Neurospora crassa OR74A: one gene and its partners. The protein of the gene in region 1 purifies or fractionates together with the protein of each later gene. This does not show direct contact. Links are inferred from orthologs where the notes say so. Each region holds a gene or a part of one and is shown on either strand. Other genes may lie near its edges.

The links.
Region 2: the proteins of pod-5 (region 1) and NCU03794 purify together in Saccharomyces cerevisiae (affinity purification with mass spectrometry; 12 studies listed by BioGRID). This does not show direct contact. The link is inferred for Neurospora crassa OR74A from reciprocal best matches to the Saccharomyces cerevisiae genes UTP13 and PWP2.
Region 3: the proteins of pod-5 (region 1) and NCU01502 purify together in Saccharomyces cerevisiae (affinity purification with mass spectrometry; 4 studies listed by BioGRID). This does not show direct contact. The link is inferred for Neurospora crassa OR74A from reciprocal best matches to the Saccharomyces cerevisiae genes UTP13 and UTP7.

The regions. Positions count from the first base shown.
Region 1 is NC_026505.1:1,894,645-1,898,393, reverse strand, and holds the start of pod-5 (polarity defective-5), read right to left. Parts: upstream 2,323-3,749; 5' UTR 2,230-2,322; coding exon 1-2,229. Other genes in the region: NCU03627 (hypothetical protein), read left to right, coding at 2,756-2,788, 2,845-3,749. UniProt on the Saccharomyces cerevisiae protein: Involved in nucleolar processing of pre-18S ribosomal RNA.
Region 2 is NC_026505.1:2,437,493-2,441,241, reverse strand, and holds the start of NCU03794 (periodic tryptophan protein 2), read left to right. Parts: upstream 1-1,248; 5' UTR 1,249-1,422; coding exon 1,423-1,553; intron 1,554-1,620; coding exon 1,621-3,749. Other genes in the region: NCU03795 (cell division control protein 12), read right to left, coding at 1-8, 80-184. UniProt on the Saccharomyces cerevisiae protein: Required for bud-site selection and cell separation. Also involved in nucleolar processing of pre-18S ribosomal RNA.
Region 3 is NC_026502.1:3,253,105-3,256,777, forward strand, and holds NCU01502 (small nucleolar ribonucleoprotein complex subunit), read left to right. Parts: upstream 1-1,026; 5' UTR 1,027-1,176; coding exon 1,177-1,485; intron 1,486-1,550; coding exon 1,551-2,906; 3' UTR 2,907-3,096; downstream 3,097-3,673. Other genes in the region: NCU01503 (pre-rRNA processing protein Tsr1), read right to left, coding at 1-390, 558-666; NCU01501 (mitochondrial peptidyl-tRNA hydrolase Pth2), read right to left, coding at 3,284-3,609. UniProt on the Saccharomyces cerevisiae protein: Involved in nucleolar processing of pre-18S ribosomal RNA.

The DNA of each region.
Region 1 (3,749 bases):
GGACGCGGCGGCATGGGTCTCAGCCGAAGTGTCCTTCCAGAAGGTTACGCGGGAGTCGGAACCACCAGACACAAGCATATTGGTCTTGGGGTGCACCGTGAGCGTCCAGAGACGGTCTTCGTGGTTATCGAGCGTGCACTCGGTCTCACCAAGGTTGGCGTCCCAGACCTTGACGAGGGAGTCGGCGCCCGCAGAGGCGAACTGGATGCGCTGCTTGGCCTTGGAGGCGGCAGCAGCAGCCTCGTCTTCAGCGTCGTCAGCGGCCTTGGGAAGGCGCAGCCAAACAACCTTGAGGACGTTATGGGAGTGGCCCTCGAATGTGCGCAGACAGGTGTAGTCCGAGAGGTTCCAGAGCTTGATGGTCTTGTCACCAGAACCCGTCAAGATTACACCCTTACCGGAAACAGCAGTGCCGGTCTCGCCTTGAATGGCAGGCATGCCCTGAGGCGCGAACCGAACCGTCCAGACACCCCTGCGGTGACCCTTGAGGATACCTACGACTTCTAATGTTGCGGAATCCCAGATCTTGACCGTCTTGTCTTGTGATGCCGAGGCAAAAAGCTTTCCGTTGGGGCTGATGTCGAGAGCGTTGATATCCTTCTCGTGGGCTAAGCGACGGAGACTGGTTGAGACGGCTCCCTTTTGTGATGTTCGGGGAATGTCACGCTTCTGAACGAACCGATCCTGGGAACCGGAAATGAGGAATGCGGGCGGGTGGTCGAGGGGGTTCTTGAACGCCTCCGAGTTCTCGGGAGGTACGATCTTGGGGAGTGCGACAGCGCCGACAGACTCGATGTGGCCAGTGAAGACTGCATAGCACTCGAACGAGTTATTGGCTGGGTCAACCCTCCAGAGGCGAGCTGTGTTATCCTTGGCACCACTAGCAACCCAGTGGCCAGACCAGTCTACATCGAGAGACATGACAATATCCTCGTGTCCCTTGAGTAGAGCTACGTCATGGCCAAAGTATGCCGCGCCCTCCTCCTCGTCGCCCAGCTGGGGCTGCTTATCCGCCACGGATACAAGTCTGATATCTTCGGAGTTGGTTGCAAGAGCCATGAGAGACTGATCGGGCAAAAGGTAAACAAGGTCGAGAATTTCGTCGTGTGTTCCCGAGATGCGCCTGAAGGGTTCCAGAGGCTTCGTCGACTTCTTGGTGGCATCGGCGACCGAAGGTGTGCGGTAGAGGGCGAGGGTGAAGTCAGACTGGGCGCAAACAACAAGGTTCTTGTGGGGAAGAGCAAGGGCTGACACTATCGACTCGGCTTCCGACTTGGCGTCTTGCTTTGCTGTGATTTCTTGGTGTGTGGTTGTGTCCCATAGCCTAAGTAGGCCACTTGTTCCAGCCGAATACATCAAGCTTCCGTTGTTGAGGAAGCCGACAGCTTCAACGCCTTCATGGCGCAACATGGGTGTTCCCCTCCATGTCCCCTCCTTCCACAGCCATACTGTCATTGTCTTATCTCTGCTACCGCTGAGAAGGGCATGTAGTTCTGGTGAGTAGTCAAGGCTTTGTACGTTGGACTCGTGCGCTTCTCTCCTCGAAGTCGGGTCGGCGTAAACGGGGTAGGTCTTGCGTTTGCTGAGGTCAAAGATGCGGATCTTGCCGTCCTGTGTGCCGTAGGCAAGACGGAACTTTGAAGCGACGCTGTCATCCTGAGCTTGCTCCTCCTCGGCTGTGCTCTTTCGCCTGTTCTTCTTGTTCTTGTTGCTGGCTTGGTCCTCGAGAGCGGCAATCTCGAAGAAGTGGAGGGCAGAAATAAGGACACTCGGGCCGCTAACGGTATGGGTAACGTATCCTCCGACAATGTCCCAGATCTTGATGGCGCCGTCGGCAGCACCGGTGGCAAGAAGGGTGCTAGTTCGGTCGACCGCGAGAACCACGACGGGGGTGGCGTGGGGCTTCGTGGTGCGTACAAGGGTGGCTTCGATGGAATCGTAATCTGGTGAGACCTTGAGGGAGTATATGCGCATAGTAAGAGAACGAGAGCAGACAATCAGGTGGGAGGCCGAAGGGGTGATGGTGAGGGTCGAGATGGGCTCTCCGTCGCCCTCGATCTCGGCGAGCTGCTTGCCGGTGTTGAGCTCTGTGAGGACGGCCTGCTCGCCGAGGGTGGTCGCGAGGATCCTAGCGCCATTGTCGAGGGCTACGGAACCTCCTGTGAAAATGGGCTGGATGACATTGTTGACCTCGAAGGTCGTCTTGGTGGTGGTTTGCCTGTACGCCATTGTGGTGACGGAGTGTCTGGCTGTACAAGTGGATTAAATCAAACAGAGAGGCAAGGAGGGTTGCGATTGCGCGCCGCCGCCTTTGGGGTTCTGCTGTTAGAACGTCAAGTGTAGGGTGGTACACTGCAAAGTCCCCAATCCCAAAAACTTTTCGCGGGTCGCTGCCTGCCGCCCGCTGATAAGGCCAGGCAATAAGGTTATCTTAGCGCCATGCAGATCCAACCCCTGTAGGAATCCGTGACGAACCACGCTGGAGCACTGGAGCAACTGGAGCATGACCCTCCCTCGGCTTTCTGTGCTCCCCAATCGCCCCCACCAACGTCAACTGTCTGTTCCAGTCTCCATCACTCATCAGCTATACCACCACTATCTTCACCATAACACAATCTCTGGCACAGGACCTAGTTTGTTACACGAGGATGGCCACTGACTGGTCAAATTTCACCGTGTAATGTACACATAAACATCTTGGCAATGCCGGATAGTAATCTACAAACACCTCCTGAATCCAGTTGACCCTTTCACGATGCGGTTGGGCCCACTGACATCACAGGCCCTTGTAAGTCATCGTTGCAAGACTTTCGGGCTACAACTTCGTTCTGACACTAAGGACAGGGCCGGTCTCCCTACGATGAGGTAGTTGAGGGCACTGGCGAGCCCCAACCCGGGGCCCCAGAGCAGTTGTATGATGACCGAGGACGACCAGTGAATCCAGAGACACGGCGCATCAACAGAGACATCATCCGCTCTCACAACGAGGTTATGCTGGTCATCGGCGTTGCCGAACCGGACAGTGGCATCAACGAGGCCCAAGCTCTATACGAAGCCGCCACCAAGCACCAGTACTACGAAGATGGAATTGGGAGGAAGCTGTTCCTCACCGGCGAGGTCTTGGCCACCGTCGGAGTCTGGGGAGTCAACGGCTTGAGGCAGCGTATCTTGCTGTACAAGGACTACGCCCATGTTCCCTTTTCTCGTCTATTTCACTTTCACAGGCGCCAGCAGTCATGGGGAGAGTACCTCTGGGCCGGGCTGCCATCGTATGTCCTGAGCGATAGTTTTGCTGGATTCGACATGCCAGAATACCCATGGGTCAAGTACGTGTTCTCCTGGGTCAACTTACACCTAGAGATCTTCGTCTTCATGCAACGAACCGGCCTTGTGAACACCTCGAGATGGGTTCCCACCCTTGGTTTCTTCATTCCAGGCTGCAATGACTCCCCAATCTTCCTACCAAAACTCCCATCCTCCTTTACCCCTGGAAGCATCATCAGCTGGCTCGGCGCCTTTGTCGCCGGTATCGCCCCTTTTGCCGGCTACTGGTTCTTTTCAAAGACATACGCCCGGCTCGTCTGGTCACTTAGGCGGAAAATCCAACGACGCTTGCCCAAACCCATCAACTTCAGCAGGAGGAGGACTCTTAAGGAGGTAGTCCCCTATTTACAACCGCCCAGTGGAACATACATCCCTCCCACACCCACACCAGAAGAGCAGCAACAGCGACAAGAAACTCAGCCACG
Region 2 (3,749 bases), about 540 kb from region 1:
CCAGCAACCTATCCACCCACGCCGTCAGCATTGGTTTTACAAGCGCGAGGTTCGGCAAGCTTTGGACAGTGAAGCGCACCATAATAGTAAAAGCAGCGCCTCTCTTAGCAACAATCTTGTGTCGCTGGTTGGGCAGATTGGCAATGCCAATCGGTGAGGCGCTCTCGGTAGTGGCAGGGGCCATCTTCAGCTGGGCGAAACACGAAACTGGGAGATAATTATGGGTAGAGGATTAAGTCACGATCCCGTTGCTGTAACGGCGAGAAGAAGCACCGGCAATTGGAGAAAAAGAGCGTCAGGCGGGATGCGTGGTGTACGGGTATGGTGGTGGTCGTGAATGGGAATCGAAATTAGGTTGGTGTTGACAGTGGACGGGTGGGAGCGAGAGGCAGACGGGGGATGGAACTGCAGTGGTGAGTGGACGGGGGACCCGTCGTGGAGCTCTGTGCTTTCGTTCAGGGGAATTTACTTGTTCAAATTTCCACACCACATTCATCTGGCCCAACCCAGCACCACACACCCACGCAGGAGAGAGCACCAGCGACGGGGACGGGAGCGCCAGGCCAAACCTAGCCCACACTGACTGAACCCCAAGCACTCCAGGCACTGCAGGGCCGCGGCAGCAGACGGACGGAGCAAGCAGCGAGCAAGCAGCATTCGATTCCATCCTCCAGATGAGGTGCCTGGGCGGGGCCACGGCAGCCGTCTGTGATGATGCCGAGAAGGCGCACGGTACACGATCCATATAATCCAATGGCACCTTTCGAGCCCGGCATTCTGCAGTAGTGTAGAGCTGCCACCACACAAGGCCGCTCTTGACTGGCTGCGCGGCAGGGAAATGAGTGGACCCTCCCCTTTTCCACTTGCTTCCCACACTTCCCCAATTCCAGGTCCCCAGAGACGGACCTACGCTGGCAGCTCTCCACTGAAACGCGCTTGCCAGGTACCCTCGCCGAGCATTTAATCGATGCGTGCCTTCCCTGCTAGCGCCATTGGCGGTGATCAGCCATTCATTGCCATGGAAACTTGGTCGACCCTTTGACCCTTTGATTGCCAGCTCTGCCAGCCTTGCACTGTGCTTGGTGACCGTGCTTGGTGGTGCCGTGCAGTGGTTGGTCTCGCTGCGGTCGGTGAGGCTGCCAGATACGCCAAGTCTTTTGCCAGCTGGTGCCAAAGCGAGGAGCTAACCCGACTCCATTCCCCGCCAAAAAGTTTATGAAATTTTTGGCTGGCAGAATCGCCATTGAACGTACGGGCGGTCTAGGCGCAACAGCAGCAGCCTGTAACTGAACTTCTGTTCCACTTACCTATACAGACTCGAAAGAGTCCTCCAGTTCCTGTACATAATCGAATCCCCAGATACTATCCCAGTTCTGCTCCATCTCCAACGTTGACAGTCGAGGCATGGAATAGTGTTTGAAAATGAAGACCGACTTCAAGTTTTCTAATCTACTGGGCACAGTCTACTGCCAGGGCAACCTCTTGTTCAGCCCGGACGGTACCCATCTCTTCTCGCCCGTTGGCAACAGGGTGACAGTCTTTAACCTTGTCGAGTACGTCTCAAGATTCCCTACACACCTGCCTGGCGCATGGCTTGTAAGCTGGCTAACACGGTCGCAGTAACAAATCATATACCCTTCCCTTCTCCCACCGAAAGAACATTGCGCGTATCGGTCTCACGCCCCAGGGCAACCTCCTACTCTCCATAGACGAAGATGGCCAAGCTATTCTCACCAACGTGCCCCGGCGCGTAGTACTATATCACTTCTCCTTCAAGGCTCCAGTAACGGCTCTCTCCTTTTCGCCATCGGGGCGCCACTTCATTGTTGGACTCGGCAGGAAAATCGAGGTTTGGCACGTTCCCTCAACACCCGACGCCAACGCCGACGGCGAGCTCGAGTTTGCGCCCTTCGTCAAGCACCATACCCACGTCCAACACTTCGACGATGTCCGTCACATCGAGTGGTCCCACGACTCGCGATTCTTCCTCACATCTTCCAAGGATCTCACAGCAAGGATATGGAGTGTTGATCAAGAGGAGGGGTTCACACCTACAGTTCTGTCCGGTCACAGGCAGGGTGTCGTGGGCGCGTGGTTTTCCAAGGATCAAGAGACGATTTACACAGTCAGCAAGGACGGCGCCGTATTCGACTGGCAATACGTTGCGAAGCCTGGACAGGACGAGGATATGGTGGACGACGATGACCTGGCCTGGAGGATAGTCAACAAGCACTATTTCATGCAGAACAGCGCCACCGTACGATGCGCCGCTTTCCATCCCGAATCGAACTTGCTGGTTGCCGGTTTCTCGAACGGTATCTTTGGCCTCTACGAAATGCCCGACTTCAACATGATCCACACTCTCAGCATCTCCCAGAACGAAATTGACTTTGTGACGATCAACAAGAGCGGCGAGTGGCTGGCGTTTGGCGCATCCAAGCTTGGTCAGCTTTTGGTGTGGGAGTGGCAGTCCGAGTCTTACATTCTCAAGCAGCAGGGCCATTTCGACTCGATGAACTCCCTCGTTTACTCTCCGGACGGTCAGCGGATTGTCACAGTCGCCGATGATGGAAAGATTAAGGTGTGGGATACGGAATCGGGATTCTGCATTGTTACCTTCACAGAGCACACGAGCGGCATCACTGCTTGCGAGTTCTCCAAGAAGGGCAATGTCCTGTTTACCTCGAGTTTGGACGGTTCCATCAGGGCTTGGGACTTGATCAGATACAGAAACTTCAGGACCTTTACAGCACCAGAAAGGCTATCTTTCTCTTGCATGGCAGTTGATCCTAGTGGCGAAATCGTGGCGGCTGGCTCCGTTGACTCTTTCGACATTCATATTTGGTCTGTCCAGACTGGCCAGCTCCTAGATCGTCTTTCGGGACACGAGGGCCCTGTGTCATCCTTGGCCTTTGCGCCTAACGGCGGTCTTCTTGTGAGTGGTAGTTGGGACCGCACTGCCCGTATCTGGTCCATCTTCAACCGCACACAAACAAGCGAGCCTCTCCAGCTCAACTCGGATGTTCTCGACATTGCCTTTAGGCCAGATTCTCTCCAGATTGCCATCTCCACTCTCGACGGCAACCTGTCGTTCTGGTCGGTCTCGGAAGCTGAGCAGCAAGCTGGTCTTGATGGACGCAGGGATGTCTCCGGCGGTCGGAAGATCGGTGATCGCAGGACTGCGGCCAATGTTGCCGGTACCAAGGCTTTCAACACCATCAGATACAGCACAGACGGATCGTGCCTTTTGGCCGGCGGAAACAGCAAGTATATTTGCTTGTACTCCGTCACCACCATGGTTCTCCTGAAGAAGTACACCGTGAGCGTCAATCTTTCAATTCAAGGCACTCAAGAGTTCCTCAACAGCAAGCTTCTCACCGAGGCTGGACCCCAGGGTCTCCTGGACGAGCAAGGCGAGGCCTCCGATTTCGAGGACAGGATAGACAGGTCACTCCCAGGCTCCAAGCGCGGCGACCCCTCCGCACGGAGGAAGAATCCCGAAGTGAGAGTAAACGGCGTTGCCTTCTCCCCGAACGGAAGTGCTTTCTGCGCCGCCTCCACAGAAGGTCTTTTGATCTACAGCCTGGACACCACCATCCAGTTCGATCCCTTTGACCTCAACATGGAGATCACCCCCACCTCTACCCTGGCCGTGCTCGAGAAGGAGAAGGACTACCTCAAGGCTCTCGTCATGGCTTTCCGCTTGAACGAGGCCGGTCTGATCCAGCGTGTCTTCCAGGCCATCCCTT
Region 3 (3,673 bases), on another chromosome or scaffold:
CCTCTTCCTGCGCGGACAAAACGAGAACGACATAGTCGGCGACTCTGGCAGCGTCCAGGCAGGCGGTAAGGTCGCGCTTGAGGGGGAAGTATTGAAGCTTCTGCTTGAATCTGTCGACGGGAACGCGGAATGCGCCCTCGGGCACCTCGGTCTCGATATCAATGCTGGCGTTCAGGCTCTTGATGGCTTCGGTAGCGTCACCGTCGCTGCACAGGGGGATAACGGCCACGTTTCTGGGGGCACCATCCTTGCCGGCGAAAATGGAGGTCTCCTGGAGATGTTCCTTGTGTTTTTGCAGCTGAAGCTGCTTGTTACGGTTGCGACGGTCGAACTTGGACATGACTTGTTGATGGGGGGTCTTGCGCACACCTCTCTCCTCGGCTACCTTGCCTATAGAATGTTGAAAGTATTAGCGCTGTGTGGACGTTGTCGACCTCTTTATATGCAGCTGTATATTCATGTCTGCTTGGGCTTGGTGCGCCAAAGTTGGGTGAAGTAGAGCATAGTCCAAGGCAACAACCTTGGCATGAGGCACGGCTGTTATATGCAATCCGTACCTTTGGCAGCATTCCGGAGAGCACCCTTGGTAGAATGGCGTGACTTGAAGGGCTTGTTCGACGCCTTGGTCGTCGGCCGATGCGAGTGGCCGCTCACGGCGCCGGGCATATTGCTGGAATCGCCGCCTGCTTTGAACCGAAAAGGGAGCGAGTTTGACGCCAGGATGTTGGACCTGGGGAGGCGATGAAGAGAAGAGGCTGGGGGGTTGGGACTGAAAAGAGATTTCGAGAACCTCTCTGGTCACAATCCGTCTATCGAGTATCGAATAAAGTGATGGGGACAATGTCAATGGCGGGGCACTCGTTGCATTTTTTTGAGTTGTGCGAACATGGGCGGCCGTCTCGCTACTTATCTTATCGGACTCTTGTACGCAGTGGAGCCAATGATCGCTGCGGAACAGCTGCCCCATCCAACTTTTTAGTGGGTCCGGCCCCAAAAAAGTTGTCGAGGAAAGGAAACATTCAAAGTGCCAAAGCGAGGGACAGACACGGGCACACCGAGAAACCGCCAGACCAATTCCATATTCAGCCCCCATCCATATCCCGTCGCCGATCCAACTGTCCTAGTCCACCACACATATTACCCATTCCCATTGTGTCGCGTCGACCCATTGGCACCATGGAGACTACAGACAGGGCCGAAATCTCCCTCTCGAGGGCAGAGCAGCCCAGCGGCGCCGTTGCCATCAACAACGTCCGAAGCGAGTTCCGATCAAAGGCCGAGGCCAACAAGATCCGCAAAGTCAAGGCAGCAGAGAAGTCGTACGGCCGTGGTCGCAAGATCGATGTCAAGAACGTCAAGGACAAAAAGCTCAAGCGCAACCTTACCAACCTCGAAGAAAAGTACCAGACGGCCACGCTAAAGGCCAAGGAGGCCGAAATCCTTCTCGAGAATGCCGGCGGTTTCCTCGAGGCTGAACATGAGCTTGTGAGTAGCCATGGCTTGGGAGTTTATAGCCTCTTGCGCGATACTAACCGCGCTGGTCACGATAGGAACGCACATACAAGGTTCGCCAGGAGGACATCGTCAGCGAAGTCAACATTGAGGTCGCCCAGAAAAAGTTCGACTTGAAGCTCGACCAACTAGGCCCTTACATTTGCGATTTTTCGAGGAATGGCCGGGATCTGATTCTGGCAGGACGAAAGGGCCATGTCGCTACGATGGACTGGAGAGACGGCAAGCTGGGCTGTGAGTTGCAGTTGGGAGAGACCATCAGGGACGTCAAGTGGCTACACAACAACCAATACTTTGCCGTCGCTCAGAAGAAGTACACCTACATCTACGACTCGCAGGGCGTCGAGCTCCACTGCCTAAGGAAACACGTCGAAGTCTCCCACCTCGAATTCCTCCCCTACCACTTCCTGCTGGCCACCCTGGGCACAAACGGCCAGCTCAAGTACCAGGACACATCGACCGGTCAGATCGTCACCGAAATCGCAACGAAGCTGGGCACACCCGTTTCCATGACACAAAACCCCTGGAACGCTATCCTCCATGTTGGTCACCAGAACGGCACAGTAACGCTATGGTCGCCCAACTCGTCAGAACCTCTGGTCAAGCTCCTTGCCCACCGTGGTCCCGTACGATCCATGGCTGTCGACCGCGAAGGCCGCTACATGGTGACAACAGGACAGGACTGCAAGATGGCCGTTTGGGATATCCGCATGTTCAAGGAGGTCAACAACTACTTTACCCGGGCGCCCGCTTCGTCCGTCGCCATCTCAGATACCGGCCTTACCGCTGTCGGCTGGGGCACCAGGACAACGGTCTGGAAGGGTCTCTTCTCGAAGGAGAAGCCGGTACAAGAAAAGGTCCAGTCTCCCTACATGACGTGGGGCGGTGAGGGCAAGCGCGTCGAGCGGGTGCGGTGGTGCCCCTTTGACGATGTTCTCGGTGTCGGCCACAGCGAAGGGTTCTCGTCCCTCATCATCCCCGGCGCCGGCGAGGCCAACTTCGACGCCTTGGAAGTCAACCCGTACGAGACCAAGAAGCAGAGACAGGAGGGCGAAGTCAAGCAGCTGCTCAACAAGCTCGCGCCCGAGATGATTGCGCTCGACCCCAACTTTATCGGCACCCTCGATTTGCGGTCGGCGAAGCAGCGGGAGGCGGACAAGGATCTGGACGCCGGGCCGCCGGATCTGGAGGAGGAGATGCGCAACCGGGCCAGAGGCAAGAACAGCGCGCTCAAGAAGTACCTGCGGAAGCAGAAGAAGAAGAACATTATCGACGAGAAGCGGCTCAAGGCCGAGGAGATGTACAAGCAGATGCAGGAGAAGAACGGGGAGAGGCACAAGGAGAAGGTGGCCGAGCTGGGGCCTACGCTGGCCAGGTTTGCGAGGAAAGAGTAGAGCATGAAAATTGGTGGGAGGGGTGGAAGAACAGAGTACATGATGATACCCAGAATCAGTCACTTAATGAAACCAAAGACGGTCAGTCGACCGGATGCTGTGCTGATACTATATTTGTTTACTTGATATGCTTACGTGTATGTGGAGACTCATCTTGTTGCTTGATAATCTATTCAAAAGTAAAAATCAAGACCTACGCCTTACATGCATCAAAGTCTTTACCTGACTGTATCGCTCTCTAAGCCCAATGATACTTTTATACCGTCCCCGTTACGCCATTTTTCGTGCTTCTCGTCCTTCTCTTTGTATCTACGTTCATGCTACCGTCAACATAACACACTTTCTCCATCCTCTCCCCGCTACAAAGTCTTCCCCCTTTACAGCAACTTCAAGTGACCAGTGATCTCATCAACCAAGCTCTTAGGCGCCGGACCAACGCCCAGCACGGTCCTGGACCCAGAGGCAATCTGCGTACGGCCAGCATCCTGAATCACCTCAGCAGTGACGCCCAAGCTGCGCGCCTTGGCCATCAGCTCCAGCATCTCATCCTCGGTCTTGGTTTGCACGGCGATCTTGGCCTGGCCGTTGCGCTCCCACTGACGGAGCAGGCGGGCCGACAGCGACAGGGGCTCGAGCTGGGCGGCAGAGAAAAGGCGCTTGTAGCAGGCGAGGGTGGCGTGGGAGCATTGAGCTGCGATTTTGCCTGTTTGTTTTCCACCACAGCAACACGTCAATAAACCGAAGGTTAAGGGATAAAGTAGAAAAGA